Alligator mississippiensis: one gene and its partners. The protein of the gene in region 4 purifies or fractionates together with the protein of the main gene of each other region. This does not show direct contact. Links are inferred from orthologs where the notes say so. Each region holds a gene or a part of one and is shown on either strand. Other genes may lie near its edges. The genes, in order: THAP11, EHMT2, ZEB1 and CTBP1.

What was found.
Region 1: the proteins of CTBP1 (region 4) and THAP11 purify together in Homo sapiens (co-immunoprecipitation; 4 studies listed by BioGRID and IntAct, with this or other methods). This does not show direct contact. The link is inferred for Alligator mississippiensis from reciprocal best matches to the Homo sapiens genes CTBP1 and THAP11.
Region 2: the proteins of CTBP1 (region 4) and EHMT2 purify together in Homo sapiens (affinity purification with mass spectrometry; 4 studies listed by BioGRID and IntAct, counting the BioPlex papers as one, with this or other methods). This does not show direct contact. The link is inferred for Alligator mississippiensis from reciprocal best matches to the Homo sapiens genes CTBP1 and EHMT2.
Region 3: the proteins of CTBP1 (region 4) and ZEB1 purify together in Homo sapiens (affinity purification with mass spectrometry; 9 studies listed by BioGRID and IntAct, counting the BioPlex papers as one, with this or other methods). This does not show direct contact. The link is inferred for Alligator mississippiensis from reciprocal best matches to the Homo sapiens genes CTBP1 and ZEB1.

Annotation. Positions count from the first base shown.
Region 1 is NC_081833.1:34,252,479-34,260,460, reverse strand, and holds the start of THAP11 (THAP domain-containing protein 11), read left to right. Parts: upstream 1-4,974; 5' UTR 4,975-7,214; coding exon 7,215-7,982. Other genes in the region: CENPT (centromere protein T), read right to left, coding at 343-479, 1,452-1,545, 2,598-2,691, 4,320-4,448. UniProt on the Homo sapiens protein: Transcription factor, which has both transcriptional activation and repression activities. Also modulates chromatin accessibility.
Region 2 is NC_081834.1:62,582,443-62,590,289, forward strand, and holds the start of EHMT2 (histone-lysine N-methyltransferase EHMT2), read left to right. Parts: upstream 1-4,839; 5' UTR 4,840-4,896; coding exon 4,897-4,905; intron 4,906-5,083; coding exon 5,084-5,132; intron 5,133-5,216; coding exon 5,217-5,396; intron 5,397-5,564; coding exon 5,565-5,830; intron 5,831-6,094; coding exon 6,095-6,167; intron 6,168-6,286; coding exon 6,287-6,372; intron 6,373-6,671; coding exon 6,672-6,821; intron 6,822-6,938; coding exon 6,939-7,076; intron 7,077-7,563; coding exon 7,564-7,675; intron 7,676-7,847. Other genes in the region: ZBTB12 (zinc finger and BTB domain-containing protein 12), read left to right, coding at 1,840-3,549. UniProt on the Homo sapiens protein: Histone methyltransferase that specifically mono- and dimethylates 'Lys-9' of histone H3 (H3K9me1 and H3K9me2, respectively) in euchromatin.
Region 3 is NC_081828.1:192,323,059-192,331,070, forward strand, and holds the start of ZEB1 (zinc finger E-box-binding homeobox 1), read left to right. Parts: upstream 1-5,012; 5' UTR 5,013-5,061; coding exon 5,062-5,119; intron 5,120-8,012. UniProt on the Homo sapiens protein: Acts as a transcriptional repressor. Inhibits interleukin-2 (IL-2) gene expression. Enhances or represses the promoter activity of the ATP1A1 gene depending on the quantity of cDNA and on the cell type.
Region 4 is NC_081825.1:16,478,105-16,485,958, reverse strand, and holds the start of CTBP1 (C-terminal-binding protein 1), read left to right. Parts: upstream 1-4,846; 5' UTR 4,847-4,910; intron 4,911-7,854. Other genes in the region: E3 ubiquitin-protein transferase MAEA, read right to left, coding at 4,056-4,124. UniProt on the Homo sapiens protein: Corepressor targeting diverse transcription regulators such as GLIS2 or BCL6. Has dehydrogenase activity. Involved in controlling the equilibrium between tubular and stacked structures in the Golgi complex.

The DNA of each region.
Region 1 (7,982 bases), on a different chromosome or scaffold from region 4:
AAAGCCTAACCACCTATATTCTTAATATAAAAAAGATGGCCTTTGACCTACTCCAGTGTCTTTTTTGTACTTCCAACATGCACCAGGGCCTGTTACCACTATACAAGCTAGTTTAATTGCTAATAACCGATGCTTGTCACCCTACATCTGCTTAATAGTAGCCTTAGTCCCATCTACAATAAAAAAAAGTTGCAAACATTTTCCCACTGGTGCTGAAAAGCATAGGAAAGAGACACTCAGCAGCGAACTACTGCAGCTACGAAGTTCAAAAGGAATCTTTTGAAGCTCTTTGAAAATGATGATGTGAAGACTCAAGCAAGGAGCCCCCGACTGAGGCCTTACCCAGGTTTTGAGAAGATCGCTTATCCACTGCTCTCTCAAATTCAGAAATGCTCAATTTCCTTTTATTCCTACTCGTGTGAAATGTAATTATAGCTGTATCCTCAGAAACAAGGTCTGGCAGCTGTATCTTCATGCTACTAAAACAAAGCAGTGAAACTTATAGTGCAGGAATGTTAAAGATCCAGGCTATGAAGCCATATCCTCTGCCCCCCTCTGCCCCCAGTGCTGGCCCTGGGTCTTGAAATTTCCCACAAACAATACACAGGGTCCATGCGCAGGCCCCAAGAAGTGCGCCACACACATCAGCCACTCTAGAACCTATGCTATATGCAGCACCTGTGCAGGTCCAGTTCAGGACACCCTCCCCCCAACAATGCTGGATCCAGTGACCAACCTGGCTGGTCCGGGACTGCACGACCCACTCTGGGGCACAAGCTATGTGTAGTACAGGTTCTGGAGCAAGTAGTAAAGCCTTGGACTGGCTAAAATGGGATCTGGCATGCAGAGTTGGGGAGGAGATAGGTCCGTGGGTCTTCCACATGCCAGATACAGCTCTCACCCCAGCTGGTCACAGATTTGTGCTATATACAACGCCTGCCCCAGTCCACCTGGGGCAAGCACTGCATGCAGGTCCAGTCCTGGACTGGCCAGAGTTGGCACTGCAGGCCTGCACCCTGTCTACTGCAATGGTGCTCAACCTTTTTGCTTCATTCAGAAGAATGGCACTACCTCCACTCACCGTGCAGGACTGAGTACTAGGGGCTTGGTGCTGCCCCAACCCAGCCAGCCCTGCACACTGGAATTGGGCATCCCATCCAGCACACAGGGCCTGGGGCTCCTCATGGGTCCCGAGATTTGGCACCACACCCATGGGGAGGCCCTGCAGGCTAGATGGAAAGCTGGATCTGGTCTGTGGTCTGAAGAGTGAGCACCCTTGGTGCTCACATCCTAAGAAATCATGTCTTCATATAGCTAAAACGATTTACATTACAGACCTTTAAACAGATATTTTTGAAGCATTTGCACACCACATTGGAACTCTGAACTTTCTGCCAGGGGAGGCAAAACAGCCTCCTCTACAACTTCATGACTAACAGAAATGTACTTACGTATTAGAAAGCCTTTCTGAGTGGGTTTCTGATCCAGACTCTCTAGGTTCCCAGGGCTCAGTTATTTTAGGAACCACAGGTGAAACCTCTGGCTCTGTAAACAAAACAAAGTACTTCATTACCACAAATGAACCTAGGAAAAGTGGTAAGATGCAAGTGAAGCAAGAGAAACATGCTTCAGTTCTTTTTCAAAGTAGTGGTCACAAATTTTTTTTAAATATATATTTATTCACCAATTAAGAGTGCAGCAATGGAGTCGAGATGGAGAGAACCATTTAAGATCTGCTCCTCAATGAAAGTGAAACGTGTTCTCAAAAATAAGCTTTTTCAGAAAGGCATCTTGCTGCTTAGGTCTTATTTAGGGTTACTAAAATTAAAAAAAAAAAACAACCAAAAAAACAAAAAAAAAAACCAAACACACAAATGAGGAAACAGCTGGTAGCTCATAAATGCCCACCCCAAGGCGGTCATAAGTTGGAAATTTTCATGCAATTCCTATGAAGTAGGTGGGATAAGGCATTAATGATTTACTTGTTCAGTAATTCTGATAACAGGAGACACAGAGGCAAGATTTTTTTGCTGTTCTGCAAAGGTCAAGCATTTACCTTTGAAAGTGAAAATTTCTTGTATAAGCCTTTCACAGTTCTAATAACCTTATAGCTAACATTTTGTATAAAAGCATGGTCTTCGTAAAAGAAGGTCTGAATTTCTCTCCCCCACCCCCAACAGAGTAAAAATTATGAACATCTCTCTCTTCTCAACTCTTTTAAAATTGCATCTTAGATGCAACTACATAAGGGGTGTGTATCAGGAGCTGGGAGAATGTCTGTTCCACCAGGGCACCCCAAGGGAAGACAAGGTCTAACAGTCACAAACTCCGGAAAGCCCATTTTAGGTGGACATAAGAAAAAACTTCTTTACCATCCACGTCCCCAGAGCCTAGAATAGACTCCTCCCAGAAGTGGTGTAAGCACTTACTCTGGACACTTCCAAGAAACACTTGGATGTCTATCTTGCTGGGATCATTTGCCCCAGCTGACTTCCTGCCCCTTGGGCAGGGGGCTGGACCCAATGATCTCGAGAGGTCCCTTCCAGCCCTAATGTCTGTGAAATGTCTGATTTTCCAGAAAAGGGGGTTATACTTACGAGTCTGGAAGATTTTTCTGAGTAGCAACCTAGGTGTGGCAGTTTCAAGGTCAGGGGCCATAGTTGGTTTCTGTTTCCTCGAATCAGACAGATGCTTAGTAGAGAAAGCAAAAAGAGAACTACTTTAAGCATTCACATTCATCAATAAATCAGAACCTTAAGAGTAACATGCTAAGGACATATTTTCTAGTGATAAGCTTGTGAAACTCCCAGAACCAGAGTTCTTATATTTTGAAAATCACAAAAATACTGTACCACAGAATGATTGCCCTGTTTGAGGTAGGAGCAAGAGGCTTTGCCCCAGTGGTCCCCCCGCTCTTAGAAACTACAAGCAGAGTAGAAGAGGCTGCTCCACCCAAACCCCCAGAGTCCAGTCTGGGGCAAGTACAGGGAGTCTTTCCCTGCTGCTCCACTCCCTGCTGGGATCAGGAATGACTAGGCACATCTCCCCAGCCTTCCTCAGATTAGGAATCACCCCAGTCTCAGAAGGCATGGAGGGCAGGGGAGAAGAGGTGGCTGTAAAAGGATTTCAACTCAAGCGTCACAGTGGCCAGGAACTGCACCATTGCAGCAACAGCCCAAGCCCCAGCTTTTGCTGGGGGACTAGCAGCTCCACCAGCATCACAAGCAGAAGCCCCTTTACTGCAACCTGATCCAAGGTTCTAGGCCTCTGGTTGTGGTGCCAGACTGGCAACTAGTGCCCAAGCAACAGATAGGCATGGGATTCCATGGCAGTAGCCCATGCCCTGGTGAGTGGAAAATCTCCGTTACCTGGCCATGGCAAGGCTTTCTATGGCAGTAGACGGTGCCCTGGCTTTCACTGGGAGGCAGACAGCTTCAGTAGCACTGGGGCCAGTGCCTGCTGAGCCAAGTCTTTTCTCCTGGCTTCGGTCACAATAGCAAGGCTTCTGCCAGCCATGCTGCTCTCCCCAAGGTGCTGCTGCAGCTGCCATGCCAATCCCAGCACTGCGGCCAGAGTCAAGGCAAAAGTTTGGGGCCAGATGACCCAGGTGAGTGGGCCATGTTTGACACCCTTGACATACGTCCTAAGTTTTTCAGGGTGAAGACAATCTCTGAGACTGCAGTGCCCACACAACAGAACTCAGTCTCAGTACATTACTGCAGAAGAGACAGCAGCATGAGTGAGCACGAGCCGTGTATCACAGAGAAGATCTGCTATGGAAAGTCAACTAAAGAACTATCAATTCCAGAGAAGAAAGCCCTGGAAGAGCTTCAACATCTATTTCAGAAACAGCCAAAAGCCTGTGGTGGAGCAGTGTAACCACACAGACATTCCCTCACCAGCCTCTGAGCAGCTGTACTTAAACAACTAAACTTGAAAAAGCAACTTAGACCCCACTGCAAAGAAATCGCCCACAGACTGGACTGAGTTAAGCTTTGCCTCCGCAGGGACTATGGTTTCTCATCTCATTGCCTGGACTGGCCGTTTCCTCCCTCGTGCCCCCAGGTATTAACTGCCTCCACCCCAGTTCACTTCATCAACCCACTCGTTCCCTCGCCGCGCGCGGCCCGCCCCGCCCCCCCGCTGTCCCGAGCGCGCTTGGCTTTCACCCGCGGTCGGAACCAAGCTGGGTCGGGCCCTGGGGGAGGTCCGGGAGGAGCCGAAACGCCTGGGGAAGCGGCTTCCCCGCCGCGCGGAGCGGAGCGGAGCGGAGCGGAGCGGGACGAGGCGAGGGGGCGGCGCTGCGGATCGACAAGCACCTTCCGCCTGGGCGCCGGCCGGGCCCACTCCTCCGCTGCGCGGCGCGGGACCGCGGACGGGGACACGCCAGAGTCGTGGCCGAGCCCAGCGGAGGCGCTGGTCCTGGGGGCAGCCGCGGGGTCCGGCATGGCTGCGGCTACAGCGGGCAGAGGCGCCGGCCACCAAGCGAGGGGCAAGAGCGAAACCCGCCACCCCGCCCCGCGCGGCCAGGGATGCGGGTGGGAGAAGCCAGGCAGCCCCGGCCCCGAGCAGCAGGACACAGCCTCGCCCGGACTGGCCCGCGGGCGGGAGGCGGAGAGAGACAGCCCCGCCAAGGGCCCGCTCCTGCCGCCGTGCCTCCGCCTCAGCCCAACGGCACAGCCGACTCTCCCGCCTGCTGCTTCAAGCCAAGTCTCGCGAGAAGCGCGGTGCCTGATGGGAGACGTGATTCCAGAACCCTTGACCTCCCGCTCCTCGGCGTGAACTGTAGGGCCGTGTAAGCAGCAGCGGCGCCCGCCTCGCGCATGCGCAGTAGGCTGGGACGAGCTGTGCTGCGGGACTGTCCGCAGCTGCGTGGTTTGGACGAGGCCGCTCCCGGGACGCGGGTCCAGCCTGCGCGCATCACACCTCCCTGCTCTCGGGGGCGGCCTGGTTGCCGCTCTGAGCCCCACAGGGATCATCCTATAACGAGGCCTACAAAGGCCTCCCCGCCCCAGTTAAGGTGGGGCCTGGCAGCTCACCCCAGGCTGGCGCCCCCCGGGGTTCTGGAGGTTGAGCTTACTTTAGAAAAAGAAAAACAAATGCATTAAATCTCCGCTCCCTGCATCTTTCCCAGATATATTAAGGGTCTAGATGACTTAATACAGAGGGTTTCCCTAGGCACTGCAGCCCTCTGCTCCTGCCGTCTGAGAAACGGGTAGAGCTCTCTCTTCAGACCCTGACCTACCTTGCGCTTTCAAAAATACTCTGTTGAGCACTGAACTAGATCTATGAAACTTGAAAAACAGTACTGGTAAATGTTCAGAGACATATTGTTTAGCAGCAGTGATCCAGCTTTTTCCATCTGCTGCAGAAACGTGGATTTTCTCCTGTAATGGAGAAAAATGCGGATTTTCTCTTTTAAAGGTGAAAAATCAGATTTTCTTCCTTAAAAGAGAAATGCAGAATATGGTAGGTTCCCTTTGGAGGCTGGCAGAGTTCCAGCCTACAAGGGGCTGCAGGGAGGTGGAGGAGTAATCAACGCAGGGGGTACCACATGCATGTGTGCGCAAGCTCGTGCATGTGGTGGTCAGGCAGCAGTGGGAAGCAGCTCCTGTAAGTCAGTGACCACCAGCCACGCAGGTGTGGCAGGGAGGGGCACAGGCCACAAACTGGGAGGACAGTGGAGACATGTGACCCCCAAGATTTCTGCACCCACAGTGGGCATCAGGCTGCACTAAAACTGGATCAGCTCCAGAGGAACTACCTTCACAGCCCAGCATGTGGACCCAGCATGGGAGGGGGTGCCATGCTGAGGCATGGTGGTGCAGAGTTGTGCCCTAACTGCTGCTGGGTGGATGGGGGGGCACCTCACCTTGGTGGCCATGGCGGTGTGGTGCAACTGCCAAGCTACATAGGTAGAGGCCAATCAAATTCACAGCATAAGGAGAGTGTGGTGGCTCTTTTAATCTTGCATATTCCCCTGCATGGACCTTGTTCCCCCCCCATCCCCAATTAACAGAGAACCCCCCCCTCCTGATCAGCAGGGAAGCTGAAACCATGGTTTTAAACTTGTTTTTGCCTCCCCCTAGTCAGCAGCAAACAGCAGGGCTGTCCAGGGCCCCTCAGCCCCCTTAGCAGCCACCCGTATGAAGTGGCAATCAAGGCATTTATTTTTGGCACGTGCATCATGAGAAGTAACACGGATGCTGCTGGTCAGATTCGAGTTTTAAAGCATTCCTTTTCTAGGAACTCTGCTTTCTTAACAGCACGTACTGTACGCCAGTGGGATCCTGGTGCAGAGCTGGGGCTTCAAGGTGCTGTAATAATATAGATAAATAATGGCTGGGCACTGACGGCCTTCACAGCCTGCCATGGCTTTTCAGTGTATTAATCGAGAGGAGGCACCTGACGCAGACACTACTAGTAACAGAAGGGACAGACGCGGCTGGAGTAGGAGCCTGCCGAGCAGACCGACGGCTGCAAGGTGCCTGTTTTCACGCCGGGGCCCGTCACCTCCCGCCCGCAGCTGACAGCAGCGTACGCGCGTCTCGCAGCAGGTCTGGGTGCCCCACGCCCCCGAGCCTAGGGGAAGCGGCGCCAACAAGCCCCGAGGCCGGCCCGCCACCAGCGCTTGCCGAGGAATACGGTTTGGCCGCAGCCGCCTAGGTCAGGCTGACGACGCGTGCGCCTGCGTAGTGCGCAGCATTGTGGGACTAGCGGCCGCGGTCGCCGACTGGTGGTTGTCCCGGCGCCTTGGAACGGTGCGGGGTGCGTTGTGGGGCTTGTAGTGACGCAAGCCACGCGCCTGCGCTCTAGAATCCTGGGAACTGCGCACTTCCGCCGCCCGCTCGGCTCCTCCTTAGGTGGGGCGTCCCCGTACATGGTGGGAGGAGGCTCCGGCACAATAAAGCCGCGGGAGCCCAGTGCATTGTGGGTGCTGTAGTTTCACCGTGCACTGGAGCGCCGTGGGGCGCGCTGCTCCCGCCCCCACTTCCGGCCCGCGCCCGCCGCCTTGTGGGCCGGGTAGTTCCGGCGCGGGGCGAGCCCGCCCGCGCGGTGCATTGTGGGCCGGGTAGTTCCGGTTCCCCTGAGCGGGCGGCGTTGGCGGCGGCGAAGGCCGCGGTTGGCCTTGTGGGAGCTGTAGTTCGGCGCGGCCCCGCGCCCGCCGTCCCAGCCGCCGGGGCCGCCGAGGGGCCCCGCGCGCGCCCCCCGCCATGCCGGGCTTCACGTGCTGCGTGCCGGGCTGCTACAACAACTCGCACCGCGACAAGGCGCTGCACTTCTACACCTTCCCCAAGGACGAGGAGCTGCGGCGCCTCTGGCTGAAGAACGTGTCCCGCGCCGGCGTGAGCGGCTGCTTCAGCACCTTCCAGCCCACCACGGGCCACCGCGTCTGCAGCGAGCACTTCCAGGGTGGCCGCAAGTCCTACCTGGTGCGGGTGCCCACCATCTTCCCGCTGCGCGGCGTCAACGAGCGCAAGGGCGCCCGCGCCCCCCGCCGCGCTCGCCCCGCCGCCCCGGCCCTGCCCCAGCCCCAGCCCCCGGCCCCGCCCCAGCCCCCGGCCCAGGTGGCCGCCGCGCCCGCCCTGCTGCTCGCCATCCAGGACGGCGCCGAGGCCCAGCAGCTGCAGCCGGGCCAGGCCCCGGCAGGGGGCGCCGGCGAGGACGTGAAGCCCATCGACCTGACGGTGCAGGTGGACTTCGGGCCCGAGCCGCCGGCCGGGCCGGTGCCCGTGCGGCTGGTGGCGGCGGGGGCGCTGGGCGAGGACGGCCCGCTGGAGGGCGGCCCCCCGGACCACTCGTACTCGCTGTCGTCGGGCACCACGTCGGAGGAGCTGCTGCGGAAGCTGAACGAGCAGCGGGACATCATCGCTCTGCTGGAGGTGAAGATGAAGGAGATGAAGGGCAGCATCCGCCGCCTGCGCCTGGCCGAGGCCCAGCTGCGCGAGGAGATCCGCGAGAAGGACCGCCTGCTGCACGCC
Region 2 (7,847 bases), on a different chromosome or scaffold from region 4:
CTGGGGGTCCCAGGCCCCCCGCTCCCGCCCCAGCCCCGCTCCTTGCCAGAGTGCCCAGGTGTGGTGGCGAGGTGGGGCTCCTTTAAGTGTGAATGTGGGCGGGGGAGCTGGTAGCTATGGTGATTCCAGGAGAAGGGCTCAGAATTCTCTCCCGGCGCCCGGTGATGACATCCCGGTGCCCGGTGATGGCGTTCGCGACATTGAAAGTGGAGGGTGGGATTTAAAAGCTCCGTTCCTCCATCGATCCCACAGTGCTCCGGGGCGGACTCCCACCCCGCCACCCATCCCACAATGCTCCGAGACAGCCTCCTCCTCCGCCTCCTCCCCTTCAGCTCCCACAATGCACCGGGGCAGCCCCGCCCCCACTTCCCACGCTGCTTTCAGGCCAACACAAAGCCTCTTCCCACAATGCACCACGCAGCCCCCCCTCAACCCGCCCCCCGCCCCCTTAAGACCCCCCCTCTCCCTTGTGTCCAATTTCTATCCGGCGGACAAATAACCGCCCCCCCTTGGTGGGCGCCCTGTCCCTTTAAGGGGCCCCGGCCTCGCTCGGCCCCTTTAATTCGCTCGCTCCGGAGCTGCCTCCCGGTTCGCAGAGGCGGGGGGAACCCGGCCCCCCCACGCGCCCGGTCAGGGGGGGCTGCGGCGGAGGGGGGCGTATAGGGGGAGGGGCTGGGGGGTATGCAATAGAGGGAGGGGCTAGGGGGGTGGTCGTGCCATGGGGGGAGGGGCTGGGGGGGTCCATGCAGTGGGGTGGAGGGGCTCCATGCAGCAAGGGGGAGGAGCAGGGGGTCCCACAATGGGGGGACATGCAATGGGGAGTGGCTGGGGGGGTCCACGCAGTGAAGGGGAGGGCTGGGACAGGGGTCCGTGCAGTAGGGGGCAGGGATGGGGGGGGTCTGTGTAGCGAGGGGGAGGGGCTGGGGTCATCCATGCAATGGGGCAGGGGCTGGGGGCTCCAGCTATTGACCCCCACCTTTCTCTTGCAGCTTCATCAGGTGCACCCCACTGTCGGCCACCTGGAGCTCTCCCAGCTGCCTGCACCCCCCTGCTTGGCCCCTCCTGGGCCCCCCCACCCCCATCTTCCCCAGTGCGTCCCAAACCCCATCTCCACTCTCCTGGCTCCCCCATTCCCTTCCAGCCCTGCCCCCGTCTCTGCCCCTCTCCTTCCCCCCCAGCCCCAACTCCTTCACCCATTTCTTGCCCCTGACTCCCCCACCCTTCCAAGCCCCCCCAAAACCCCTGTCTCAGCCCCCCAGGCCCTTCCAAGCCGCTCCAGCTCCCCCCAAACCCCCCACTTCCCCACAACCTGCCATCTTAGCTCCCCCAGAGCCCCTATCTCAACCCCCCCAGGCCCCTCCAGCTTTTTCCAACAGTGCCCGCACTCATCCAGCCCCCCGAACCCCTATCTCCTGCCCCCCAAGACCACCCACCTGTCCCCAGACATCTCCAAGCCCCCCAAACCCCTATCTCAGCCCCCCAGACTCCTCCCCAAGACCACCCAGCCTGCCCCAGAGCCCCTCAAGCCACTCCAGCTGCCCCCAACCCCCCCAGCCACTTCTGAACCCCCCTCAGACACATCCAAGCCCCCCCGTTTCTTTCCCCTAGACAGGCCTCTAGACACCCCCAAGCCGCTCGAGCTCGCCCACTCTCAACCCTCCCAGGTTCCCCCAAATCCCTATCTGCACTCATCCAGAGCCCTCGGGTCCCCATAGCAACCCCATCTCAGTCCCTCACCTCCCCAGGTCCATCCAACCCCCCATCTCGGCCCCTCCAAAGCCCCTGGGTCCCCCCAGCATCCCCACCCCGGCCCCCCAGGCCCCGTCTCTGGGCGCAACAATGGCATCGGGGCCGGAGCTGCTGCGCTTCCAGCTGCCAGGCCACGAGGCAGCCACGCTGCGCAACATGAACCAGCTGCGGGCCGAGGAGCGGTTCTGCGACGTGACCATCGTGGCCGAGAGCCTCAAGTTCCGGGGGCACAAGGTGATCCTGGCAGCCTGCTCACCCTTCCTGCGCGACCAGTTCCTGCTCAACCCCAGCTCCGAGCTGCAGGTCTCGCTGGTCCACAGCGCCCGCATTGTGGCCGACCTGCTGCTTTCCTGCTACACGGGTGCCCTGGAGTTTGCCGTCCGCGATGTAGTCAACTACCTGACGGCTGCCAGTTACCTGCAGATGGAACATGTGGTGGAAAAGTGCCGCAATGCCTTGTCCCAGTTCATTGAGCCCCGCATCGGCCTTAAGGAGGACAAGCCAGGGGCAGGCGGGGGCCCGCGCCCAGCCCCCTTGCGCCACACCAAACCGGCCCCCCGCAAGCCTCGCCCACCTGTCAAGCTGGAGCTGCGCCTGGCCGAGGAGCCTGAGCCCAAGGATGAGGACGATGATGACGAGGAGGATGACGGGGATGAGGATGCCGTGTCCGACATCTGCATTGTCAAGGTGGAGTCAGCCTATGAGGTGGCCCAGCGCCACCGCAAGCAGCACCTGCTGCAGCCTGCCTGGGCCAAGGATGGGGCAGCAGGGGCCAGCTGGGTCAAGGACGGGTCTTCTACCGCCAACTGGGTCAAGGATGGGTCTTCCACAGGCAGCTGGGCCAAGGATGGGTTGTCGCCAAGCAACTGGACAAAGGAGGGGTCATCGGCGGCCAACTGGACAAAGGAGGGGACATCGGCAGCCAACTGGGTCAAAGAGGGGTCAGCCATGGCCAACTGGAGCAAAGAAGGGTCTTCCATGGCCAACTGGGCGAAGGAGGGGTCATCGCCAGGTAACTGGGCAAAAGAGGGGTCGTCGCCGGGCAACTGGAGCAAAGAGAGGTCATCACCGTCCAACTGGGCCAAGGAAGGGTCGTCGCCGGGGACGTGGGCCAAGGAAGGGTCGTCGCCAGGGACGTGGGCCAAGGAGGGGTCGTCACCAGGGGCGTGGGCCAAGGAGGGCAGCTGGGCCAAGGAGGGCCCCGGTGACGGCGAGGGTGAGGACCCGGGCCCCGAGGCGGCCGGGCCAGCACCAGGTGAGCCAGGCAAGGCGGTGCCAGGTGTGGTGAAAGCCCGCTATGCCCTGGCAGAGGACACGGAGGGCGAGGGGCTCCTGCTGCTGCCCCCGGGGGCCTACCTGGAGCCCGGGCCACCCAGCGGGGGTGGGCACGGGGCCGGGGGTGCGGGCGGGGGGCCGGCGCGCTGTGCCAAGTGTGGCGAGGCCTTCCAAGGGGTGGAGAAGCTGGTGTTCCACATGCGGGCCCAGCACTTTGTCTTCATGTGCCCGCGCTGCGGGAAGCAGTTCAACCACAGCAGTAACCTCAACCGGCACATGAACGTGCACCGCGGCGTCAAGTCCCACTCGTGCGGTGTCTGCGGCAAGAGCTTCACACAGAAGTCCACGCTGCACGACCACCTCAACCTGCACAGCGGCCTGCGGCCCTACCGCTGCTCCTACTGCGACGTGCGCTTCGCTCACAAACCCGCCATCCGCCGCCACCTCAAGGAGCAGCATGGCAAGACTACGGCCGAGAACGTGCTGGAAGCCAGCGTGGCCGAGATCAACGTGCTCGTCCGCTGAGCCAGGGCTGGGTGGGGTGTGGGGGGCCCAGGGGCCTGGAGAACCCAGGTGTCCAGGGTCCAGATCCCGTAGCAGGTAGAGATCACAGGCATCGGGTGCCTGGACCCTGCTGTGGGTGGAGAACCCACACATCCAGGTGTCCAGATCCCATAGCAAGTAGAGAACCCAGGTGTCCGGATCCCATAGCAGGTAGAGAACCCAGGTGTCCGGGTGCCTGGACCCCACTGAGGGTGGAGAGCCCGGGTGTCCGGGGTCCGGATCCCGTAGCAGGTAGAAAATCCGGGTGCCTGGATGGCATGGCAGTGCAGAACCCACAGCAGACAGAGGACCCAAGTATCCAGGTGCCCGGACCCGCCATGGGAAGAGAACCCAGGTGTCCAGACCTCATAGCAGATACAGCAGGGGTTCCCAACCCCCGGTCCACAGCCCGGTGCTAGGATGGGACGGGCTGGCTGCCGGACCAGAAGTGATTGCGGACCGGCAAACTGCGGACTGGAAATGATGGGGATCCTGCAGACTGGCAGCCAACCCTTCCCTACGCGGAGTAGAAACAAGGGTTGGGGTTGGTCCGCAGTTTGCCGGTCCACGGTCGCTTGCCGGCCCTCAGCATAAGAAGGCTGGGAACCCTGCGACGGAGAACCGGGCGTCCGGTGCATGGGTGAGACCCCCGGTGCCCAGGTCCCGTAGCAGGTCGAGATCCCAGGGTCCCGACTCCCCGGCGGAAGGAGGCACCAGGCGTGCAGGAGTCTGGCCCCTGGGTAGTGCAGGTCCCGCGGCTGGAGAGGACTGGGGGGGGGGGGGGTGAAGCGGAGTTGAGGGTGTAATGGGGGGGCCCGGACGCCTGGGGTCTCCGGAGGGGGGGCGAGTTGCCATCAACCAAAGAATAACCACGTGAGCCCGCGGAGGGGCGGGGCCTGGGGGCTCCGGTAGCAGTAGCAGTAGTAAGAGGTATTACCCCGTGGTAGGCGGGGCTAGATGGGGCGGGGCCTAGACCCTGCTGGGGTGGGGGGCGGGCCTGGGCCCGGGGGGCGGGGCCATAGAGGATTAACCGTTTTTAGACTTTTTAACTTTTTTTTTAATTAAAATAATTCAAAAGGAAATAAAATTTGAGACGTTTTTATTGGGGGGGAGGCGGGGCCCGGCCGCTTGGGTGGTCTGCGGGGGCGGGGCCGGGCGCGGACGACCGGGGAGGGGGGGGCCCGGCACCACGTGGACCCGAACAATGGGCCGGGGGGGCGGGGCTCCGGGCGGGGCCGCGGCGCCTTTAAGGCTCCCGCTCGCCGTGACGTCAGCGTCGTGACGTGTCGCCGTCGCTCCACCCCCACCCCCAGCTCTGCAGCCGCAGCCATGGAGGCGGTGAGCGCGGGGAGCCGGCGGGGAGCGGGAGCCCGGGGGGGCGCGAGCCCGGGGGGGGTGGGAGCACCCGGCGGCCGGGCGCGGGGGGGGGGGGGACCCGGGCGTCCGGGCCGGGCGGCGAGGAGCCGGGACGCCGGGGTCCCGGCGGGGCTGGCGGTTGACCCACCCCCGCCCCCAGGAGCAGCTGCCGGAGGCGCTGGAGGCCGCCGCAGACGCAGGGGACGCAGGTGAGATGGGGGCACAGCCCCCCGCCCCCACTCCTCCTCCCAGCCCCCAGCCCCTCCCCCTACTCATCTCCCCCCCCCCCCCAGGGCAGCCCCCCATGGGCCAGGGCCCCCCCCCAGAGCCCTCCGCCCTCCTCTGCCCTGCCGAGGCAGGGGCCAGTGGGGACGAGGTGGCACCGAGGACCCAGGTGTCTGGGAGCAACAAAGAGCCCGAGGCTGAGAGCAGCCCCGCAGCCGGCGCCAGCCCCGGGGGCAGGGGGCTGCCAGGTGAGGGGCTGCGGGTCGGGGGTCGGGAGTGGGGGGCGCCGGCAGGGCTGGGGGCCGGGGCTGCGGGTCGGGAGTGGGGGGCACCGGTAGGGCTGGAGAGGGAAGGGAGCCAACTCCTGGGGACACCTGGGTCCTTGGCCCCATTCTCACTCCCTTCCCCCCCGGTAGGCCACGCTGCCAAGACCCTGCCGTCACCGCCAGTGGGGCCCGGGGGGCCCCCGAGCCGGGCCAAGATGTCACTGACCGGGGCAGGGAAGTCGCCCCCCTCGGTGCAGAGCTTGGCCATGCGGTTGCTAAGCCTGCCGGGTGCTGGCCCTGCCCCCAGCATGGGCCCCGCCCCTGCTGAGGCCCCGCCTTTGGCACCCCCAAGCCCGGAGCCCAAGCCCAAGGTGCACCGGGCCCGCAAGACCATGGCCAAGCCCGGCAACGGACAGGTGGGTGCCAAAATGCCTGGGTTTCCTCTGGAGGTGGGGGTCCCTTTGCCACATGGGTTCCTTCCCTAGCCTGTTCTTTGTGGGTGGGGGGGTCTCCCAGATGCCTGGGCTCTTCCCAGGGGTTCTGCGGTGGGATGGGGGGCAGGGGTCCCAGATGCATGTGTCCCATTTGTGGGATACATTTGGCTGGGTGTGGGGGGCAAGGGCTGGCAGAGGTTGGGGGGTGCCCCAGATGCTTGGGTCCCAGCCTGCTGCCCCCCCCAGGTGCCAGAGAAGCGCGTCTCCGAGATGCTGCACTTCCGCGTCTCCGACGATCTCCGTAGCATCGAGGAGCCAGGTATCTGGGTTGCGGGTCGGGAATGAGGGGTACTAGTGGGGCTGGGGGGGCTGCAGGTTGGAAGTGAGGGACACCGTGAGAGTGGCTGCCACCTCCCTCATGCCTTTGTATCCCCCCAGAACCCGCCAAGCGCCGGAAACTGGACTACGGCCCTGAGTCCCTGCACAAGCGCCTGCCGCCCACCTTGCCCCGTGCCAGCACTGAGGTACCTGCCCCATATGCCTGGGTCCCCTGAACCCTGTCCCCAGGCACCTGGTTGCCTTCCCTTCCACTGCATCCTGGACACCTGGGTTACCTACTCCTGACCCCACCGCTGCAATGTCTGGATCCTTTTTCCCTTGATTTTTCCCCTTCTTTCCTCATAGACACCTGGGTTTCCTTCTTCTGACACCCTCCCCTTGCACCTGAGCTCCCTACCTGGGAGCTCTCCCTCTTGGGCGCCTGGGTCCCCGTCCAGCTGGGAGCCTGGGCCGAGCTCTGACCCCCCCGCCCATTGCCCCCCAGATCACGGTGACGGAGGAGATGGCAGCACGGCCATTGGGGCCAGCGGGCGAGGATCGGGGCCCCGATGAGTGGGAGGCCGAGGTGGGAGCCGACTTCAGCCTCTTCTACGACAGCTACTCAGTGGATGGGCACAATGACTCGGACAGCAAGGTGGGGGCGCGGGGGCTGGGCTGGGCATAACAGGGACAGGAGCTGTGGATGGCTCTGGGGGACGGTGTCAGGCTAGGCCTGGACACCTGGATTCACCATGCTGGGCCCCACCCGCAGTCAGAGGCGGATGGGGCTGGGGAGCAGTTGAGTGAAGAGGAGGAGGAGGAGGAAGAGGAGGACGAGGAAGAGGAAGAGGAGGAAGACGATGAGGACGACGATGATGAGGATGAAGAGTCCGGGAACACCTCAGATAGGGTGAGGCCCTGGTGGGGTCGAGGTCACCAGGGGTGGAGCGGTGTACTCCAGAGCTGAGGCTGGATGGGGTCAGAGATAGGGAGGAGGGGCCTGGGGAGTGGGCTCAAGGGCTTAGATTGCGTGTGGATATGGGGTCAGAGGTCAGGCCTGAGCTCAGCAAAGGTCAGGGCTCAGAGTCTGGGGTGCATGGCCTGTGAGGGTGGGAGTCAAAGGCCTAGCATGGGAGCTTGGGTGTGCAGAGGTCAGAGACCACAGCTGAGGGTTTGGTTTGTGGAGTGTTGGAGACTTAAGGGGAGAGCGTGGCTGGGGTCACAGGGCACAGGTCAGGATGGGGTGGGCATTGGAGGTGGGGGAACTTCAGGGATTATGAGAGGGCCTGGGGGCTGTGGGTTGGGTGTGAGGGGCTTGGGGAGGGCAGGGGGCTGTGGACTGGGAGTGAGGGGCACCAGCAGGGCTGGGGGGTTGCCTCACCTGACCTGCCCCCCAGAGCGCATCAAGCACCAAGCGGAAGGCGCGGAAGCGCTGGAAGAGCGACAGCCCCTGGGTGAAGCCGTCACGCAAACGCAAGCGCAAGGACCCCCGCCCCAAGGACCCCCGAGGTGGGGGGGAGGGTTCTGGGTGTTCTGGGGAATGTTAGGAGGGGACTGGGGAGGGGGAGGATCCTAGGGGGGTTCTGGGTGCAGTGCCCCTGGCAGGGGATTTGGGGGGGGTCTCAGGATGGGAAAGTCAGATGCTGGGGGGCCCCCAAGAACTCAAATATCCCTCCTCTCC
Region 3 (8,012 bases), on a different chromosome or scaffold from region 4:
ATATCAAACTATAGATAAGTTGCTTGTGAAGATGTTCTTCACTTATGTTCCACGATACTATAAGGAAAAACAAAACAAAACACTACCACCACACACAATGGATACCTGAGCCCAAAATTAATGAGTCATGCTGTTGAAATGGTCAACACAATGTTTTGGACACAAAGCATTTGAGATGATTACAGGACTTTTCCAGAGCATATTCTTTATTTCCCAAAGTAGAAATAGCATAGTTATGGAGTGCATTTGCAAATCAAAAATGTTTATTCCAAATATGCTATATACAAAGGATTTTTGTGATAAGATCCAGAAAGTAAAGCTGGCATGTGTGCTATACATTTCATTTATGGAACAAATTATCAAAAAGTGATATATAACATCAGCAAAGATGAACTGCCTATAGCAACAGACGTATCTCCATGGGCATTTTAAATAGAAGGGGAATGAAGAGTAAGCAAGACAATCAAAGTGATTAAGAAATAGTCTGGATGCTCATAAATGAACAAAGAAAAATTCCAAAAAAATCAAATACACAAGTTCATGAAGTCCAAAGCAGGTGTAATTTATATAAGTGGTGGTTAACATCAGGCAGGTTCACTATTAGTCTTTCAAAGAATCACTTCTGACTAACAAGCAAGAAATCTCAACAGTTTATTAAAATGCAGATGGTGCTTTTCTAATTTTTTTGAAATCATACATAGTTGGACCAGAATTCACATTTGGCAATCCTAGCTTCGGGGCTCATGTGAAGAGGGAAGCTCATGGTAAAGTATTCAAATGGTGAAACAAAAAGTGTTTCATCTAAAAGATAATTAAGGAAGAAAAAAAGTTCCTATTTTTTGTTAAATATCTACCAAGTCTATTCTAAATACATTTATAATCTATAAGGATCTTTTCCATTTTGATTCATCAACTGTAAGAACATTCACCTTAAAAACAGATGACACTGACTTGAAAGCAAAGAATAAAAATCAAGGAACTGATTAGAATACACCACAGGTTCTTAACTGAAACTCCTAGAAGTCACGCTTCATTGCATTAAAAACAACTGTAATCCAGTTTGTTTCGAAGGACACTTTCAGGCAGCAAACTCTTTTTGGTCGCTCCTCTTAGAGTAATTCTAATTCTTCAAACTATGATTTCATATAGTAAAGTGATGAATATACTTGTAAAATAGAAATTCATTTGGCAGTGAAAGCAAAAAGTGCTTTATGAGAAAGAAAGATCTAGGGATCAAGGAGGCAAAGTCAAGTGAAAGTGAACATGTTAGTAAAGAAAATTACAACACAATAAAAAAGTGAAATGAAAGCGGAAAAAAGCAGTTTAATCAGTTAGTTTTTACTGACTAAAAGAATGCATATTCCATGTAAAAACCATAAATCTCTACAGCAGTACTTAATGGGTATCATGTGGAACTTTATTTAATGAATGTCTAACGTACACAAGGATGACACAAACAAACAGAAGATTTTTACAATTTAATTTTTTGTTCAACTGAATAGCAAAAGGATCTTAGCCTGGTATAATACAATCAGTGCACATTTTGTTAAAAGCAAAGATCAGCATGGTAATCATTCGTGAAAAATATACCATTTTCAAAAGGGCTTTACAGTAGACTTATACCAATGTAACTATTAAAACAGTTTAATCATTTTTGTCTCTCTGTGCAAATAGACTTCAGAAGGAAGGCAATCTATTAACACTGAAATTTGCTACTCGTTTGCATAAGAAAACTTTCAGGTCTAAAACATGCAAACATATTATGCCATTATGCCCCTGGAAATAATTTCATACAAAATTCATATGGTTATTTGTGAGAGTTGCCCACACCTCTGAAATTCTCTCTTTAAAGAAATATGCTTACAAATCTGGCTTTATTTAGAAAAAGCAACAAAAGATACTTCTTTGCCCAGACCTTTACAAAGGGTTAAATTATTAATCTGTAAATTCCTAACTGAAAGGTCAGATTAAAAGCTAAAGCCAGTAGTAGAGAATAGTGTGTTTTTAATTCTTATTTACAATAAATTGATGCAATCAAAACCTTGTTAAGATGTGCCCAGGCATCCTATAGATGGTATTACTGCATTTAACAGTTAGTCTGAATCAGGGATCAGTTAAAACTGAAGTATGGTGATTGATGATGACTACCATTTATTATGACAATTTTTAATACAGTAAATGAGAATATATTTTGTAAGATTTTGTAAGAGGATGCATGATTCCCTCAGTTGCTTGGTGATTACCATAAGTATACTCTAGTTCAAGAGATCTACATACCTACTTGTCAATTGTGACTACAAAGCTTTCCACACTAAGTGGCAGTAGGAGGCTAATCATCCAATTTATGTAAAATCTATCCTAATTTTGTGGCTCCTGATCTTTTGGACACAAACATACAACTGGTTTACATTAAGGAGCTTACTAGTGTTATCTTTAACAGTCTACATACTAGTCCAATATCTCTATTATTTCTATGCTACTGAAGTATGAAAGTGAGAACCCTTTTGCCAGTTTTTTCCTCTTCAGGTGCTGGAGGTAGTAAAGACTGCCATCAATTTCTCTCTGTTGTTGCTTGCAAATCTCTTAGAGGTAAGGCCCTGAATAGTCACTGTAGCTTGTATAAGTGAGGGGAAAAACTCCAAAGGTGAAGAATAGGACACAGACCGCAGCACTTGGAGTGGCTAGAAGATTAAAGAAGCAGCAACAGAGAAACAATCCTCTCTCAAAGCAGTCAGGAGGTTTTGGGGAAGGAAACAGTGCCCCTCTTCTCCCTCCCTGCCGTCAGTGCAAGTACTGGGTGGAGATTTTAACTTTTTCAGAATAAAGAGTATAAAAAATAAAAAATATTGCTTTTATTCAGAGATGAACATTACATAACTTAATCAAAAGGAGCTAACTGAAAAAGTCACCTTGTTTAGATTTTGGCACCATGTGTGCAAGAGAGAAATTTTATGAAATCTTCTAACATTGGGTTCAAGTGGTAAATGAAACCACAGAGCTTCTCCACCTGCTCCAATTGCCTTCTAAAAGCAGAAAGAACTGTAGGACGTAAATACCAAGTGACATTCACCTAAACAATTAAATCTAGAGAGTACACATGTATTTGTTATGTGTGTGGCTAATACTGCAGGCCTCAACCTACAAGCTGTTCCACAAAGATGTCTGCTTCTATTGAAGAGCTTGTAGGACCACAACCCCAGATAAAAATTAAAGCTCTGCATCATTTTGCACCATCTTTGCCGTTTCCCCTCTTGTACTTCACTCCCCTAACAGTAACATTTTCCGTTTTTTATTTCACTCTTTATTGCATATTCCATGTCCCTTCTGATTCTGAAGTACCCTTGCACTTGGGTTTCAGAAACTACAGGCAAATATTAAATTAAACAAATGCAAAGAAATCTGTGAGAAGTGAATTAATTTCTATTACAGGATCTATAACCCATCTTTAAAAAAGCTTAGAGGGCAGGTCCAGGTCCACAGCTAGTGCAAGTCAACTGAAGCCAAGACAACTTACACTAACTAAATACTGAATTTAAATATGGATCTTAAACTTCAGTTTCATAAGCATGAACATATACATGATCCTGACATGTGCATATGCATGAGGGCTGAAGTTTTGTGCACATGAACCCCCAAAACCATAACTCACATTTTAAAACATAGCCTTTAGATGAATGAGAAGTAGAGGCGCAGTCAGGTCACTTTGGATGGATCAGTCACAACAGACTTTAAAAATTTGTGTAATCCCACTTTTTTCCAGTCTCAGGCATACTTTTAAGTAACAAAACATCACTTCAGTTAAAAAACAAAACAAAAACATAACTGCTCAATTGCTACCAGTATTGTAAAATGTATATACATCCTACTTACTTTTCACTCAAGAAAAATATTCAGAATACTTACTAGTTCTAAACATTTCCATCTTATCCCTAATCTTTCTGCCTTTGTTTAATGGGCAGGTATCCGCCCATGATTATCTCACTGAAAAACTGGGTTGTTCAAGCTTCACGGACTTAACCTAAAATAACTTGCTTGAGTTAAGCACCTGTAATTGTTATAGGCTTCTTCAGAAGCTGCAGATGCTAAGCATCTCTCATGTCGAAGAGGTCCTTTTCCTCCTACCATTTGACAACATTTCTATAAGTTCAGGTCATATAGTACAGAACTGTTCCTGAGCAGGAGAACTAGGACATGAGCGCGGCTAGGGACAAATGGGATACCGACTGGCCACCTCTGGGGGTCCTAAGTGGAGTACAAGGTGAAAAGTCAGCATATGGCAAGAATGCTCCAGCGTCAATTAGTGTGTCAGGCCTCCAGTTTTGGTCACTTCAAGCTCAAGATGTAGTCATTAAAAAGAGGGGAGGGAGGAGTCTTTCATTTTTGTTTTCAAATTACTTAAAAAATAACATCTACTTAGTTTTCAGGAGGGGCTGTTCTGTCGGTGGTAAGAGAAACAAGTTTGTACACACACACACACACACACACACACACACAGTCACACTCACGCAGCCCACAGGTCCGGGCTGGCCCCAGGAACAGGCGTCGCACGGGGGAGGCGCAGCTTCTCCTCGCGGTTCCCTTCCCGGGCGGGACCCGCCAGGCGGTATCGCAGCGCCCTGCGCCGTCCCCCTCGGGGCCACCTGTCCCTGTCCGTGCCCGTGCCCGGACGCGCCAGCTGCCGCGTCCCCCGAGCAGGTGGCGGCGCCGCGGGGCAGAGGCAGCACCTGCAAGCGTCTCGGCTCGGGGGCAAACGGAGAGGGGCCCGGCCCCACCGCTCCCGGGGGCCCCTCTCCTCTCCGGCCCGCACACGCGCCCTCCCCCCGGACCCCGCCAGTACCTGCGGGCGTCCCTTTTCCCTCGGCCCGGTTCAAACGCGCTGCCGTAAAGCGCCCGTCGCCCCTGGCAACAAGGTTCCGGCCGCGCCGCGCGCTAGGTGTGGGAAGGTGATGTAAAAGTAAAACCACCCAGTGTCGTAAACCAGGTCCGGGGGGGAGGGGAGGGGAGGGCGGGGGAGGGCGGGGGAGGAGGTGACTGGAGCATTTAGACACAAGCGCGAGGATCATGGCGGATGGCCCCAGGTGTAAGCGCAGGAAGCAGGCGAACCCGAGGCGCAATAACGGTCAGTGCGCGCGGGGCCGGGGCCGCGGCCCCTCGGGGCGGCGCGGGGCTGGGGCCGGCGCCGGGGCCGGGGCCGGGCGGGGGCGGCACAAGTGGAAAGTCCCGTCCGAGCCGGGCGCCGCCGCACCGTTAGCTGCGATCCGCTACCTGGCGCCGCCCGCTCGCTCGCTCGCCCGCCCGCTCGCTCCTCCGCCTGGCGGCGCCGCCGGGACCGTTACACGCGCCCGCCCGCAACTCCCAAACTTCCCACCTGTGCGCGCCCCGCGAGGGCGGCTCGGCGGTGCCGCAGCGGGCAGCGCCCGGCCCCGGCGCGACTCGGCGGCCGGCGGAGCGGGACACGGGCGATCCATGAAGTTTCTCGCCTCGCCCCGGCGGCGGAGCTACCTGCGCGGCCGACGCTGCCGGGCCCGGGCGCTGGAGCGGAGCGGCCGCAGCCTATATAAGGCACGGGGGGAGCCCGCGGGCCGGGCCGCTCGGGGGACGGCGTCGCGGCTCGGCGCGCGGGGCTGCCCGGGGGAGGCGGCCACAGGGCGGCTCCGTCCCCTCCCGGGCCAGGCTGCCTTTCATGTGGCGCTTCCTGTGCGGCTCGGGCTGGGCAGGCTGCGGCCCCGCCGCGTTGCCGGGCGGGCGGGGGCATCGCTGCCGGGCTGCCCCGGGCCGGGCCTGGCCGCGCCACGGCCACTTGTTCCGGGCCGAGCAACTTGCTGGCGCCGGCACTGATGCGCTTTTTATAGCGAGTATCGGCGCCCGCCTGCGTGTGTGTGTGTCTGCATGCACATACGTGTATGTACATCTAAGTGCGTGCGTGCCAGTGTACATAAATATACTCTCGTATGCGGGGGGTGTAAAGTGTGTGTGTAGACCTATACAGACGCACACTTACACGTGTGTGTGTATGTACGTATATGTGTGTATACATACACACACGTCTACTAACTCTGTTGGCGTGAGTATAAAGTGTGCGTGTGCGTGTCTGTGTGTATATGTCAAGGTGCTCATTTTAATTCCTCATCAGTATTACTGTTTTGCTGCTGATGTGGCTTTCTTCAAGGTAAGTTTGGAAAGTGCTTTTCTTCTTTCCTGCCTTATTTAAAACGTCGCCGATCGGGGGTGGGTAGGGGGGAAGGGGCTTTTCTCCTTGCTGACGACATGCGTGTCGACATGTGAGTCTGAACCACCCAGTGTCTGGGCAGGAGCTGTAAACATGTTTACCTGAACAGGAAAGAAAATGGATTTTTCTCTGAAAGATCCTGCGATGCGAATGTCGGGCTCTTAAAACGTAGCAACAGATGACTGGAGGGTGGATTTTTTATTTTTTTTTTCCCTGAAAACCTAGCTTTTGAGATCGTCGGGGGGAAAAAGAGGTTCTTGATCGCTGCAGCAAATGGCAACTTGTGCAGGTAGAAAAAAAAAAGATGGTGTTTAGTTTTCTCCTGCATGCATGTCAGCCCCCTCCTGTCTGCTGCTTTCATTCTCCAGGGAGGGATTTATTTACCACGCTTGCTGTCAGTGTTTTTCCTTTGTGCTTAATATTAGAAAAACAGATTTGAGGCTGTTTAGCACGAAATGTTTTGTCTGCAGCATGTAGCTCTGACAGAAAACAAAAGGTATATAAGACATTATATCATTCCAGGTATCATTCATCTTCATCACTTTTGGCCCTCATCCTTGCACCCTTTTTGTTATCAAAGGCCTTTGATTCTTTATAAACTAGTTCTTTGGCATAGAATTTAAACAGTTTTTTCCCCTACGAATTAAAAACAACTTTGTAAGCCATTGTGCAGTGAAGCATCAGGATCGGTTAGATAATAGATGCTGGATAATAGAGATTTCTCAGCAGTGGGCTCATGTTTGACTTGCAAATTTTACTGAAGAAAATTGGTAGAAAAATGTTAACCCTTAAACCTTTATCACAAATAGATAAATAAAATGATATCTATGGCAAGCTTCTAAATATACTTTGTTCTTAGATGGAAAGCTTTCTGTTAATCAAAGATCAAGGTATAGTAGATTCTCCAGCAACTGTAGTGCTAATGATATGCAGTAAATCAATTTTACTCTGTTCCAATCTCCCTCTGCATCCCCCCTCCCCTCACAGGATGGGAGGTATTAAGGGGAGGTATTACACTTGCCATCCAGGAACCCAGTTTGACAGTGTAGACTATGACACCGAGCTGTATGCTGTAAACTTTAATGCTGTGTTCACATAGTGGCACAACATACCAATGCTAATTGACTTACCGTTAGTGTTTTGATGCTGTATGCTCTGTTTTTTAAACAGCTATGCTCTCTCTTTCCTGAGTGGAAGTCCAAACTTATGGCTGCCAGTCTGGTACATTAACTCTAGATAAGAAAAGATGTGTGACTGACTGTCTGTTTCTAGAGCTGGTTCCTTTGCTGCCTCCTGATTTGGTCATTACAGGAAGCAAACAAAAGATTTGATTGCTGTTCTATAAAGACTTCACCTTGTCTTGCACTTGGCTCATTCCTAAATAAAGCTATGGGAGCTCATTGACTAAAACCAGTACAATAAATACAAAAATATTAAGCAACCAAGTGTGTGTGTCTTCATATCCTAATAACTTTATTCTGATACTGCAGAAAGAGTAGCAAAATGTTCAGTTCAGACTTTTTTGTATTTTTCTTTGGTGAGGGGAGGTGGAGGGAAGGGAAATGGGAGTTCCTGAACCTGCAGTCCTGCAGTTCCTGAACCTTCATAGATGCAGCCTTATGCTGTGAAGAGAGAGCCTCTTTGGCCCTCTCCAGACAGGCGCGGCTGTGTAGTATGTGGCACAGCAGACACATCTGCGGCGTCACATACTATGTGTTCAGGTGTTCTCCATACTGCAAGGGAGCAGCGAGGGGTGGGGGTTGACCCCTGGTTATCAAGGAAT
Region 4 (7,854 bases):
GTTTAATTATTATAACTTTATTACAGAAACCCTAGTGGGCTGGACTGTGTACAAATATACATAGCCTTGTAGAAAATGTATGATTTGAAAACAAAAGTGGTGCCAAGGAACCTGGAAGAGGAAAAAGGGTGACAATTAAAAACCATATTTACTTGAATCCAAGAAGGTCTCAAATTTAAGATGGCCCCCAATATTTAATTCTATATATGGAAAAATTATAAGTGTGTTATGATTTCCCATGTCCAGAATTTAATCATCAGACAGTTGTCTTAAATTCACACCCCCTTCCCGCCACTGCAGCAAGAAGTGGCAGGAGATCAGGGGGCAAAGGGAGGACAGGAAGCCTGATCCTTGTCCCCTGTCCGTCCCCCACTGCCTGCATCCCCTTATAACTTGTCCCCCAGGGTGCACGTGCCCCTATCACGGGGCTGCTGGAGCTGCTGCTGCTATTGCCTAGCCGGGCCGGGGCCAGTCACCATGTTCTCTGTGCCCAAGGTCAGCGTAGGGCCACAGTTACAACTAGGGGCAGCTGCAACTGCAACCCTGACCCCAGCCTCAAGCCTGGGTTAGGGCCAGGGTTGGAGCTGCAGTAACAGCCTGCCCCTCTGCCTTGTACTCAAATCCAAGACAAGACCCACCCCCCACGTTTAATGGGGGGAAAAAAGCCTCGTCTTGGGCTTGAGTAAATATAGTATATTCCTTAGTATAGCACATGATATGTCTCAAAAGCAGTCTCGTGTGCCTTTCTCTGTTTCTGTAGGAAGGAAAGTTGGCTTGAATGTGGGATCAAGATAACAGATACTAGTACGTGTGTGCATTTTCCCCTGCCTGTCCAGTCTTGGAGCTCTTGTACTCTGGGACAACTTACACAAGTTGGATACATTTCACCCAAGAACAAACACTGCACTAGGTCTAGCTCCAGTACTTCTCCATCAGTTGTCTACACCAAATGTTGAAGAGTGGCCTTCAGAAATCAATGTCTAACATTGCTACTGCCTCCTTTCCTAACAAAGTGTAGCTGCTTCAGTTGGCAGTTATTACAGCTGCAGCTCAAAGCTTCCTCCTGTCATTACTCACAAGCCCAGGTAAAAATATTTGGATAGGTAGTCATCCCTTTTTTTTGTCATAGTAATTCTGTTCAAGGGCTAATTATATTTCCAAATAAACAGCTGAATTATCTAGTCTTCTGACATGACTTGTTTAGTAATATGTTATCAATGAACTATGTCAAGAATGTTACCACCGTGTTGTTTTTTTAAATCCTTATGTGAGGTTTCCATACACAACGCAACTTCAATTATCTGAATTAAATGAGGACCAAAACTGGTTCATTTAAAAAAAATTAATATGCACTTCATTACCCAAGCAATTAGATGAACATGCTCCAGCTTCATACTCCTAAGCAAATTTGGTAACAGATTTGCCATGGTTTAAAATTTGCTGATTATTTCAATTGTTTTTCCATAATTGTTAAGACAGTTCTTTCCTCTTGCTTTTAATCACCATTGCTGCCACTCGCACCACAAACCATGTAGGCTGGCAACATCCATTTTTTGGCTATCTGAATAGTTCAGAAAATTGAAGCTCTACTGTATTATATTTTCAGCTGAGATGTAAAAGCATAATTATTTACCAGTGGGGATTTTTAGAGATCCCATATCACTACTAGGGCAGATGCAAAAAATCCTTGTGTCCTGAACAGGAAAGCAATTTGGTTTGTTATGTTTTGTATGCTCAAATTGTCTCGTAGATTCAGTTGAATAGGTCACTTTACTTTCACCTGAAAAAAAATCATACTTTGTAGAATGCCTGATGCACTTCCACTCCAGAAGCAACCACAATTCAGCTATGGAACAGGGATTTCCCTAAACAGTTTTAAGCACTTTTCACATGAAAGGCCTTCTCTCTGGAACTACTGTAATGTAGAGCTATTACACAACTATTATCTAGTGACGTTGGCATGAGCAAGCTAAAGGGAGGAAACAGGAAGGATATAAATATAATTTTGCATTCCTTTCTACTTCACTTGCATCGGAGAAAATTGCCAGTGTCCACAGAGCTGGAACAAAATCTCTGAGCTGCCACCCCAGTGGCCATCATAAAATGATATGCCTGCATTTTATGATCTGTTCTTTTAGAGGCTTAAGAACTGACAGAAGATGAAAATACACAGGCCCAAATCTGCAAAAGGTATTTAGGCATTTAACTTCCACTGATTTCACAACTGTAACTGCATTATAAATTTGTATCATTTCAGTAGATCTAAAATGCTTAAATACCTTTGTGGACCTGGGTCTCAATCTCTTTCTTCCTTTCCTCTTTTTTACATCTAACATCAGATGGATTTTATCTTAGCATAAACGTGGCTGAGACTTCAAAATGTCATTCAGAAAAACTTAAAGAAACATGTGAAACAGAACAACTATTTTTACAGTTATTTTCTGATTAGACAGAATCCTCCTCCCCCCCCCCCCCCCTTAAAAAAAAGGCGGAGAGAAAAGGAAAAAGCAAGCAATGCACCACACAACAGAAAGGAAGTTTCTGGGGTAGAGGAGATAAGAAGTAGTGGTAAGCATTCCACATGCTATCTAAACAAACAACAGTTAACGCTACTGATATAAGGTTATCTCAGACTGTTTATAATTTTGTGACAAGTAAGATTTCATTCTCTTCTCAAAATGTTTTGCAAGAAAATCCTTATGAACAAAAGTATACTTGAAACTGTCTTATAATCAGTCCATCCTCAAAATCTGTGACACTTGCTAAAATCACCTTACATAAAATATAAAAAGCAAAATAAAACAGTGATCCGCGTTAATAATGAAGAACACAAGAAAAAAAAACTGTTTAAGCACAATATGGATGTGTCAGTAAAACAGCTCTAAAATGGGCTTCTTTGTCTATGAATTCCTTTACACAGTTGCTGGGTGCAGAAAGTATCATACTGTCTTTTTAAGAAATCTTAAATTTTAAGCCAGACCTCGTCACATTTAAGCACTCCAGAATGAAGGGGGCAGGACTGGTGGTGGAGGAGGGTGGAGTGAAGGGGGTAGGGCTGGCGGTGGAGGAGGAGGAAAGGAAAAGCAAGAGAGATGGATAGAAATAACATGGACAGAAGCCTGCAAAGACAAATAAACCAGAACCGCATGACATTTTGCATATAAAAGCATGATATCAGCACAAATTTACTTTGCACAGCACTTTGCAAAGCACCTTTTAGGCCTTAAAAAAATAAAAAAATAACAAACATGAGAATTCACTGGCATTACAGATGCAAGAGGCCTATTTAAACAGTCCTGCTCCCCCCCCCCCCCCAACTTAACCAGTGCAGGATCAAATCCTTACAGCAGCAAACAGACGGATCGAATTCATACAGAACAGATTCGAAACGACGCTCCCACTGCATGGGGGGAGGGGATGGGGACACAGGGGAGAACGGGGACAATCCCCAGTTTCAGCAAATGTCACTGCTAACAACCTTCAACAAATTTTGCTCACTTTCCTGGTGACAACATCAGGGACCAGATACGCAATTCACTTCTTCCCACCCTTCAAAGGGCATTTCACCCCCTGCCCCCCCTCCCTCGTCACACCCTTGTGTCTCCCCAGCACCCGAGCTACGCAGCCACCCGAACCCCAGCCCCTCGGCTCATCCGTCTCCCCTCGCCCCCTCCAGCTCATCTCCATCTTTGGAGAATCAGGAGCCGGGGAACCATATTCCACCCCATCCCCCACCCCCCCAATCCCTCCATCTCTGAACAACGCCATGCAGCTCGCTCCTCGCCCGCAGCCCAGCCCCAAATCGCTGCCTCACGCCTCCCCCTCCCAGGGCAGCCCCTCATACCCCTCCCTCCTCACTCAGCTGCTGCTCAGGGGCCTGCACCCCACCCCGCCCCCGGGGGATGCAGATTCCCACCCCTGAGGGGAGCATCCAGCCTGCCTGGCACCAGCCCTGCCATTTGGGGTGGGGGGTGAGGACCCCCCCCGCCTCACCAACCTGGGGGCCACAATGCAGGGCTGGGGGCCCCTGAGAGCGGCCCAGGCCCGGCACCCACCTTGAGAGTGGGATACTCCTGCACCTTCAAAGTCATTGAGAGCTGAGCAGCTGATTCCTGCACCGCCATCTTGGATTGGGCACCCGCCGCCTCCTCCCCCCCGCCCGCGCGGAGCGACCTACCGCGCGCGGGGCATGATGGGCCAGCAAGGACTTCCTCCCGCCCCGCCCCGCCCTCTCCTCCCTAAGGGGGACGGCCTGAACCACCGCCTGCTCCCTACCCCCCCAGCTTCCAACAGCCTCATGGTACACTCCACTAGAACACTTGGTAGCAAGGGAGAGCCCTCCACCAATCATCGAGCCCCTTTCGGTGGAGAAGTGGCTCACTGTCAAAGGGCAGCGGATTGGAGGAGGGAGGAGAAAGGGCCAGGACTGCCTGGCAAATGAAAGAGAAGAACGCGCGCTCACAGGCGGGCCTCGTTGACGTGACGGACACATCGCCACCCAATCCTTTAACAGCGCCTGGCCTCGGAGCCAATCAGAACCGACCCTCTGCTCAGGGGGGCGGGTCCGAAAAGTAAATTTTTCTGGCCACCGTTTTAATGACCCCCCAAGGTGTCCGTGGGGGGAGGGCGGGTCAGAGGTGGGAGCCTGGAGGAGGGGGGCGGGCGTGCCCTTTGAGTGGCACGCCTCCTGACCAATGCTTGAGCAGAGCTCGCTGATGGGCACAGCGCGGAGCCAATGGCAGCTCAGCGTGGCGCGTGGAGGGGGGCGGGCGGAGCCGCCGCGGCCGCTGGCCGGAGCGGGGCTGTGCGGGCGGAGGGGGGGAGGGGGCCGGTGCCCAGTAAGTTCCGCGGGGAGGAGAGAGGGAGTGAGGCGTGAGGCGGCGGGAAGAGGTTTAAATAGCGGAGACAGAGTGAGTCCCCGACCCCCGGCTCCTCCGCCCCGGGACACCTGTGGCTGCCTCCGTGCGCGAGCGGGCTGGGGGGGCCCGGGCGGCCTGCCAGCGGGGCAGGCCGGGGCAGGGCTCCCCGAGGCGGCGGCGGCTCCTCCACAGGGCCCGGGGTTGCTTGGGGAGGGGGGAGCGACAAAAAAAAGCACCCTGCGGGCCCCCGGCTGGGTTGTGTCGGGCCCATCCCTGGCCTGACAGGTTGAGCGCTGCTGGACTAGCCAAATCCGAAGCGCCTGAGCTCGGCTCGCAAAAGTTTGCGCGTCCCCTGAGAGCAGCGTGTCGCGACCCAAAAGTGGGGCGCGAGAATAGACGAGCAAACTAAAAACGGATCAGCCAACTTTTTATTTATTTATTTTTAATTTTAAATAGGGGTTCTCCTTTCAAGGAGAAAAACACGGGGAAATGGAGGCTTTTCCTTCGCAGGATGGCCCCTTGTGCACCCCCCTTCCCCATGCGCTGTGGGGCTGGAGTGAGGGCCGCTGGGGCCATCGGTGTTTACAGATGGGTCCTGGGACCACAAAAAGTTTGAGAACCGCTGGTCTAGAGTGGGGTGTCAGCTGGGGGTACATGTCCCCCATGGGGGGAGGGGTATGCAGGGGTGGGCGCTGCCTCCCTGCCTGGGGTATTATGATCCCAGCACTCATTCCTGCGCAGGGCAGGACTTGATCTGTTCAGGTCCCTTCCGACCCTAGCGCTAGGAAACCTGGTGCCAATGCCTGAGAAGCAGGGCTGGGGCGGGAGGAGAGCAGGCCCCTGCTCCGTCTGGCTGCTCGACACCCCCTCCCCGCGCTCTGCATCTGGCCACTTGCCAGTCCCGCTGGGGGCACGGTTATTAAAAAAGGAGCTGCTGAAGGAACACCTATTAAAAAAGGCTGAAAATCCCTGATTTAGAAGACGTATCTCTACCCTGCCTTCTGCGTGACTTCAGACTTGCACGTGCAAAGCTTGTTTAAAAACATGACCTGTGCTTAAACCTAGCGCGGAGCCTAGAATTTGCCCGCAACCAGCTGACTTGTTTCTAAACGTGATTTGTCCTGTTGGCATCGAGTGCAAAGTCTTTGTTTAAAATTTGTTATTAGTTAAAAAACATAGTTGTGAGCTGTACCTGTAGTTTTGTGTTCAGCCGCCTTGTTTTCCTTGTCTACACAAGCGCTAAGAGCGAGATCCTACAACTGGATTTATGTGCGTTGAAGTCGATTGACTTGGTTGAGGCTCCATGAGGTTTGCTTGGGCTGTTCAGCTTGGAGGGCTGGAGTCCTAATTGAGTGAATGGTATGCTACAAATCTTTGCATCACTGTGTTTCCCTATTATATTCTCTCACACGCATACGACTCACATAGTATGTTTTAAGGGGCAATTAAATAGACATGCTGGATTACATACATGTACTAGTCATGCTAATGATACGAACTATGAAAATAGCAAAGAATACATTACAACAAAATGTCTATTGGGCTCAGGTGCGAAATCTACAGCTATTACCATTAGATATATGTAACCTTATATGTAATGTATTTAGCTATGTCCATTTACATATATCCAAGAATCTCAATTTACCATAGTTTTTATAACTGATAGGCTTGATAGTTATCTTCAGTATTGTTCCAACTGACACAGCGTATCACAAATAGAAAGCAATCAGGTGGATATGGTTATGTGGTCAAAATGAGTCTGTCTGACCTGTAGAGCTGTGGGTGAACATTTGTCAGAAATGAGTAGCCAAAGTTGAAGGTATTTGCTTAATGGAACAGATGGCTGAGCCACCATCATGTCACAGAAAACAGCATGTATTCTTAGTTTAACACAAGAGGGAGCATGTCTAATCTTTAACCTTTAAATATTGCAACTTCAGAGAGGCAGCTTTAATTGTTCCATGCCAACTAATTTATGTTCTGCGTTGCATGTATAAATATTGATACAGCCTGTGTATGCATTGTTGGCATATTTTCAGTTTAAGGTTGCAGCAATTAGTTTATCATGCAAATATCGATGGAGAAAGTGTGTGGACAAGAACCACGTTAATAAGTTAAAATCAGAATTCTGAATGATGTTAAAGAACACTGATCAGTAACTGCCTATTGAAATTAAGAGCAGAATAAATAAAAGTATTGTAAACATTTGTGTACAGAAATGACATTGTGGTTTAAAAGACTATGGTTTTTGTTTCCAAGTTTCTGCTGCTTAATCCACCCTCCCTGATCTAATTTAAAAGAGTTGAAATGCTTTCCATTTAATTAATAATTCAAAACAGATTAACTTTTTATATACAGTGGCCAATTTTTAAGTTGTATGATCATTTTGTGACTCTTATAACAGCCAGGAAATGTAAACTTGGGGTAAATTAAGGAAGGAGTGTATGCCAGATCTTGTTTCTTTTTTCCTGTCCCCTAGTGGTGTGAGAGAAAGAAGAAATGTCAACTTCAATTTTGCATCTTCTGGTTTTGTCCAGTTCAAGTCACAACCTATTAATGTTTATCCTCTTCACATATTTTATTAATAAGAATTAACAATTAGTTGAAATTAAACACTGCTGACATAATTCTGTAGGCCTACAGAAGGCCCTTACTTGTTTTAAATATTTTGGTTTACATTTTGAAAGAGAGATTAATTTTTGGAGGAAGAAATGCCACATCCAATGCAAGTGCTTAATTGCTTTGGTTATATGTATATCAAAATGTAAATATTTTGTATATTATCTGCTGTAGTAATACAGAAACTTCATTTGTCTCCTTTGGGCAAGTAATTATATATTGAAAATGTGTATTGATGACCTTTTGCCTTCAATGGCATAAAATACACCATGAGATCAAATTTTTGCCAAGGTAGAAATCATATGAACAGTGTGAACAGTATTATATGTAATATACCGGATACATGGACTGTGTTAGAATAACTTGTCATCAATAA